Linked DNA regions of Oryctolagus cuniculus. The protein of the gene in region 1 purifies or fractionates together with the protein of each later gene. This does not show direct contact. Links are inferred from orthologs where the notes say so. Each region holds a gene or a part of one and is shown on either strand. Other genes may lie near its edges.

What was found. The genes of interacting proteins can lie anywhere in the genome.
Region 2: the proteins of CDK13 (region 1) and CCNK purify together in Homo sapiens (affinity purification with mass spectrometry; 4 studies listed by BioGRID and IntAct, counting the BioPlex papers as one, with this or other methods). This does not show direct contact. The link is inferred for Oryctolagus cuniculus from reciprocal best matches to the Homo sapiens genes CDK13 and CCNK.

The regions. Positions count from the first base shown.
Region 1 is NC_091447.1:29,927,658-29,931,304, forward strand, and holds part of CDK13 (cyclin-dependent kinase 13), read left to right. Parts: intron 1-1,891; coding exon 1,892-2,062; intron 2,063-3,324; coding exon 3,325-3,464; intron 3,465-3,647. UniProt on the Homo sapiens protein: Cyclin-dependent kinase which displays CTD kinase activity and is required for RNA splicing.
Region 2 is NC_091451.1:43,357,883-43,361,529, forward strand, and holds part of CCNK (cyclin-K), read left to right. Parts: intron 1-1,232; coding exon 1,233-1,338; intron 1,339-2,404; coding exon 2,405-2,462; intron 2,463-3,233; coding exon 3,234-3,403; intron 3,404-3,647. UniProt on the Homo sapiens protein: Regulatory subunit of cyclin-dependent kinases that mediates activation of target kinases.

The DNA of each region.
Region 1 (3,647 bases):
TTTCCCAGGCCATAGCAGAGAGCTGGATTGCAAGAGAAGCAGCCAGGACTAGAACCAATACCCATACGGGATGTAGGTTCTTCAGGCCACGGGGCTAACACACTGTGCCACAGTGCAGGCCCCAAGAGTCTGTTGCTTTTTGGCCTTTGTTTTGTTTCTATATAGGGATGTTTTCCATTTTTATTGTAATCAAATTTACCTTTTTCTTTTAAAACTTTCAGGTTTATAAACAAAGGGTTAATGCAAAAGGTTTTCTTACAGAGATTTTTCTTGGTTACCATGTGAGGAAGGAAGGAGTGGTCTGGTTCTCCACTCCTCTTCCACCCAGTGTTGTTCCCAGTACCATCCATAGAATGATCCATCTCACTAATTTGAAATGCCATATATAGAAATTCTGAAAGATACACCTGTGTTTCTGTACTTTGTTTTGGCTTTTTTTTTTTTTTTTTTTTTTTGCCAGTACCTTAATGTTTTAATGTCTTTAGCTGCATAATGTATTAGCTTTCAAACTCAGAATTCTACCAGAGAGACAGGCAGGTAATATGAAAGTGAAAGGCATGGAGAAAATTAGTCATTAGTGAACAGCCCTGTTGTTGAGCCTCAACTTCAGTGCTGCTGCAAAAGACTGTGCACAATGTCAGTAGGACTTTTGCTATTTTAAAACAGAATCCTGGAATCTGAATATTTATGCAAGTCTTCTGATTTAAAAATATTTACCATTGATTTCTAGGTTTTGGCAAAACATTAGCTAGACTGAGTAACACATTGAATAGACTTCATCCAGACATTGGGATCTCTTTAAATAAGTTGGCCATTTCACAGGGTAAATACATCTTCATTATTCTTTTTAGAAATTTTTGGGAAGTTCCTTTACCATATTCTTAGATTTTATAAACAGCTTGTCAAGTTGCATTTAATGAACTCTTGCTTTGGTTTTGTTAGGGACTGTATTAACAATAAAAGATTAATTTGGCACTGTGGCTTAGTGGGTTAAGCTGCCACCTGCAACACTGGCATCCCATATGAGTGTGGGTTCAAGTCCTGGCTGCTCCACTTCTCATCAGTCTCTCTGCTAATGCACCTGGGAAAGCAGTGGAAGATGTTCTGAGTCCTTGGGCCCCTGCACCAACCTGAAACCCAAAAGAAGCTCCTGTTTCCTACCTTTGGATTGGCCCAACTCCACCATTTGGGAAGTGAACCAGCATGTGGAATATCCCTCTCTCTCTGTCTCTTGCCTCCCTCTCTCTCTCTCTCTCTCTCTCTAACTCTGCCTTGCCAATAAATATATTTTTTTTAAGATTTATATATTGGCAAGGCAGAGTTACAGAGAGAGAGAAGAAGAAGCAGAGAGAAAGAGAAAGAGGTCTTCCATCTGCTGGTTCACTCCCCAGTTGGCCGCAACGGCTTGGAGCTGTGCCGATCCAAAGCCAGGATCCCAGGAGCTTCTTCCAGGTCTTCCATGTGGGTGCAGGGGCCCAAGGACTTGGGCCATCCTCCACTGCTTTCCCAGGCCATAGCAGAGAGCTGGATCAGAAGTGAAGCAGCTGGGTCTCGAACTGGTGCCCATATGGGAGGCCGAGGCTTCAGGCCAGGGTGTTAACCCGCTGCGCCACAGCGCCGGCTGCACAATATGTTATTTTTAACATTCATACTGCACAGATGTCCTTAGGAAAAAACTAATTCTATATCACTATTATCCTTAAGTTTTATGTTTTACAGTTGTATGTAGTGTACTATTTCATCTGGAAGGTAAGGAAACTTAGCTTTGATTAGTGTCTTGCAGTGTGAAATGGCACAAGAAATGCACAGCCATTGCACACTACCTCACAGGGCTACATTTTTATTGCTCAACTACATTTTTATGTTTTACTTATTTGACTTTCTTTTTTAGCTTACGAGGAAATATTTCAGTAAAAGCTGTTAAAAAAGAAGTAGAAAAGAAACTCCGATGTTTACTTGCTGACTTACCACTGCCTCCTGAGCTGCCGGGAGGAGATGATCTCTCAAAGAGTCCAGAAGAAAAGAAAACAGCAACACAGTTACATAGTAAAAGGAGACCTAAGTATGTGCTTACTTTCTACCTGCTCATAAATTGACTAGAAATGATTCTGGATCATCATAAATTTATAAAACACAAACTTTAAGCTTAAATAAAAAAGTGTATTCATTCTTCCAATTTAAGTATATGAATAAGTTTTTTCATAAGTGCTTGCATACCTATTTACTATTACAAATAAAACAAGATTCAATATTCTCTCACAGTTTGCAATGTATTAATTTCTTGGGATATTATATGTATTCAAGATAATTTCTGTAATTAAGATACCTGAGTGACACTGACACACTGAAATTGGCAGGGTAGAATAAGCATTCAGTGAGTCCAAATGAGAAATGGGCAAGCTGTTATGTTTAGCTGCATTTTCCCCTCTAAATGCATTCTTTATTTTTGCAAAATACTTTTGCAAAAGATACAGTGGAAAACATTTGAAATCTGTGTTTTTAGTTAGCTTCAAGTAAGTGTCTAGAGAGAATTCTTTCCTTTGAAACTTGTTCATCAGTTAAAGAGACTATACATCGATGCTTTTTTTTTTTTTTTTTTTACTTCAACTTAACCAAGGGAAAGTGATTTTAGAAGTGCTGTTCAGCTAGTAGTGCTTAGAATAAGGGTAAGAAGTCATGTTCTAGTATGGAGTAGAAAGCTACAAAAGTTTTACCTCTTTGAGTGTACTGAGGTATTATTATTTGGAAGTTCTATGATCTACTAGAATATTAAAATGCAGCAAAATTTAATATTTTGGAGAATGAAATTTTGTTGTATCTAAATCTTATTAAGAGTGGATTTCTGGGAGTTGATTATATCATTTATTTTTTTGAAATTTTTGAAATCACTTTTTAAAAATATTTCGTCCAGCCATAAGTTTAATTTGTTGATAAGTTTAATAGATTTTTGTTAATGTTTATTATTGAATTTTGTTTAAGTAGATGTTAATTAGAGAACTTTTTTCTGCTAGTGTTGGTTTCATCCACTCATTGGAAAATTGCATTTTATTTCTGAAAACCCTTTATTCAAATTCCATGATTTCTCTTCCCAGTTAAAGTAATAGTCTACAGAAGAAGAGTCAGTATGTTGAAATGATATCATGACTTTTATGATAAATTACAATACCAAAACACATTGTTACTGGCCTTGGATACGTGATCACAAATATGCAAGATTAGCAGAAAATAAATGATGCAAGATTGGGTGGAGGGTGGATACTGAGTAATTAAACATTTAAAAGTTTGCTTGATTGTATATAAAAACTTCAGAACTATATTTGATAGAATTTGTGGGCCTCGATATGGTGAAATCAAAGAAAAAGATATTGACTGGGGAAAACGCTGCGTGGATAAATTTGATATCATCGGAATTATTGGAGAAGGTACTTATGGACAAGTTTACAAGGCCAGGGATAAAGACACTGGTAAGAACGCCAAGTTCTGGGGATCTTTGGGCTTGTGAAATGTACTTAATTTGTGCTTTTTTCCTAATCTATAGCTTTAGGAATTATAAAATATTTGGTTCAAATTTATTGGGCTTTTGTTTCATCTTGTTTTTAGCTTTACACACGCACTTGTGTAAGATACAGGTACAGGTAAATGGGTTT
Region 2 (3,647 bases), on another chromosome or scaffold:
ACACTGTTAGAGAATCAGCTCTGTTCTGTGCCGTACTTCAAAACGACAGGCCTGCCGCCTGGATGTCGCCTCCTGGGTTGCTGGGTTTGTGCAGCTGTTAGTGAAGAGACTGTGGGTGCTCTGCAGAGCCCTTTCTTCTCTGATGGCAAGCAGGCACTGCTGCTTGTACTCCCAGTGAGTGTCTCGATTGTGTTGTGCATTGTCTTTAAGTGCTAGGTGCAGACAATACACAGTGGAAGGCAAGAAGTACCCATTAAGAAACATTAACTGGTTAGAGTGTGACCCGAGAGGAGATTCCATTTATAAAAGCAATGGTAAAATATCTGAAGATAATCCCTGGGAAAATTGGCAGGGGGCTTTAAGACTTATCCTAAAGGATGGAAAAGGTGTTAATAAATTTTTGATAAGAAGATGAAATGTAGTTAAGGTCTCTGTTTTCCTGATTGTTCTGTGAATTCAGCAAGTTCTTAATCGGAATGTCAATAGTTATTTCTTTAGGATAATATTTAGTAAAATGATACCAAAGTTCAGGTAGTGGGATGGGGATCATACAAAAGCAAATAAATTTTCTGAAAAGAGGGGAGGTGACGGAACAATCCCTTCCAAGCAGACAGGTCAGCACACAGCTGAGGTTCTGTGTGTGTGTGTGTGTGTGTGTGTGCATACATGCATGGTTTAGAGTGTGATTTAGGTTGACTTTCAAATAGAAGGGGATGATAACTTATTCAGCAAATGATGTTGGGACAGCTTATTTCAGGTAAATGAAGAATTTAGACACGGAAATCATGCGCCTCATTCACACACACACCTGCTGCATCGTTGCAGTTGGCTATCATCATCTCTTCCTTGTTGAAAGTTTGCAGCGAAAATTCCTGAGGGAGTGAATTTTTTATCGGAATCTTGAAAGAATCTGCAATTCAGTTAGAATATCGAAAAGTGAAAGTGTTTTGTGAAGAAAGACACATATGTAATGAAAGTAATCACATTTCTAAGAAGCTTTGTTTTTTAGAATTAAACCTCTGATTATTTCAGATTCCTATTTTGAGTTCTTTTCAGAATTTATCATTTTCTCTCTGCAATTAAAAACCTGAGTGGGAGAGAGGAGAAAAGGAACAGAAAACAGTTGCTAAAATATAAGTGGACGAGAGAATAAATAGAAGAGCTCATGTTTTTAGTGTTGCTTGTGACCCGTGACTGTAACTGTTACCCCGACCCTGGCTACTTATTTTTAGGAAGAAGTAATGGTACTGGAGAGAATCTTACTGCAGACCATAAAGTTCGACTTACAGGTAGAACATCCATACCAGTTCCTACTCAAATATGCAAAGCAGCTCAAAGGTAAGGGAGAAAAGTTTTTTAAAAAAGAATTTTTCATTCTGAAATCAACTCTTTAGAATTTGTTCAGACACAGATTATGCTTCTCAAAAGGCAAACAGAGGGTTCAATGTGTAAAGTACCCAGGATATAGCTTGCTCAAACTGTTCAGTATGATAGCTGGTAATTCTGTCCCCTTTTATGCATAAACAGGTTCTGTCATCCAGTTGCCAAGTGACATGAGGCAGGAAAATGAGTCAGAATTTTTTAAATAGACTAATAAAATTAGCCTTGGAGCCCAGTTCCCCATAAACAGTGATTCTGCATTGGTCACTTTTGTGGTTTTTTTTTTTTTTTTTTTTAAGTTGAAAGGCAGAGCAACAGAGAGAAAGACATCTGCTGATTCACTCCCCCAAATGGCCCCAACAACCAAGTGTAGGCAGGCTAAAGCCGGGAGCCAGGAACTGTATCCTGGTTTTCCACATGAGTGCCAGGGGCCCAAGTATTTAGGCTGTCTTCTGCCATCCCAAGTTCATTAGCAGGAAACCAGATCAGAAGTAGAGTAGCAGCCAGCGCCGTGGCTCAATAGGCTAACCCTCCACCTAGCGGCGCCGGCTCACCGGGTTCTAGTCCCGGTCGGGGCGCTGGATTCTGTCCCAGTTGCCCGCCTTCTAGGCCAGCTCTCTGCTATGGCCCGGGAGTGCAGTGGAGGATGGCCCAAGTGCTTGGGCCCTGCACTCGCATGGGAGACCAGGAGAAGCACCTGGCTCCTGTCTTCAGATCAGCGTGGCGGCCGCAGCGTGCCGGCCGCGGCAGCCATTGAAGGATGAACCAACGGCAAAAAGGAAGACCTTTCTCTCTGTCTCTCTCTCTCACTGTCCACTCTGCCTGTCAAAAAAAAAAAAAAAAATAGCTGTCACTCGAAATGGCATTCCAATATAGGATGCCAACATCACATGTGGCATTGTAAGCCGTCTGCCATCAGGCTGGCCCCACACCATAGGTTTTTAAATCAATATTTATTGATTCTAGTGAAGCCTTATCCCCTTCCCCATATTACCCTTAACTTACCTTGTTTCCCCATTTGTAGGTGATAAGAACAAAATTCAGAAGTTGGTTCAAATGGCGTGGACATTTGTAAATGACAGGTACTCATATTCAAATATTGTTTCAATTACAGTGTTTCAAAATAAGCAGAGAGTTTTGGGTCATTAAATCTAAACCCCTCGCTTTGTATTGAGGAACCTGCCTTGCCCCAGCTGGAAGAGCTGGCCAGTGGCCAGGCTGGGCTTCAGGTTGCGGCCATCGCTTCCAGGCAGGTGGCCTCCAGCATCACGGTGGTGAGATGCTGAAATCTCATCACCAGTTTGAAACCAAGTCCAATACAAGACACTGGAGAATTCTGAGCACTGCATACTTATAGGCCAGTCGGTTCTGCAAACACTGTTATTTGTAATAGTTCGGGAGTCTCCGAGTTCTTCCTAGGGCCCTCATTTCCAAGTGGGGGGCCGGAGGGTCAGAATGCCCTCCAGTCTTAGTGTTGCGGTGGCCCTGCCCCTTAGGCCGAAAAGCTGCTTTTGTATTTTTTGTACATGTGTTTGACCTTGCCCTAGGCATTAATTTGAAGAAACGGTTCAGTGTCAAGGATTTCAACAATCTAAAGAACATAAAGCATTGTCATTTGTATTATGTGATGTCATAATTTTTGAATGTGCAAGAATTACTGTGTATTAATAAACTAATAACTGTTTAACTTATTTTGGTACCTTTAGAAGGCTGAAGACTTGCTTTAATTTATAATACTTCAGTCATCTGTGGAAAGAATAAGCAAATCAGCAGGTATAGGACATTGCGTCGCAGGATTTGCGTCATAATGTTGGTTCGTGGAATCTGAGAGACTTGTCCTTGTGTTCACGCAGCCTCTGCACCACCTTGTCGCTGCAGTGGGAGCCGGAGATCATAGCGGTCGCGGTGATGTATCTCGCAGGGCGCTTGTGCAAGTTTGAGATTCAGGAGTGGACTTCCAAGCCCATGTATAGGAGATGGTGGGAGCAGTTTGTTCAGGATGTCCCCGTGGACGTGCTGGAAGGTACTGAGCTGCTTCAGCTTTCTTTCCAGGGTGCTTCATGCTTAGAGGATTCTTCCTGTGTACCGCGGCTCCCAAGACTGGGTTTTCCTTTAAACGTGTGAAAGTGGAAGGGGAGGTTTTTGTCTTGTTTCTTAAAAATGTATTTAAAAGCAGAGTTACAGAGAGAGAGAAGGAGAGCCAGAGAGAGATCTTACATCCACTGGTTCATTCCCCAAATGTCCGCAACGACCAGTGCTGGGCTACA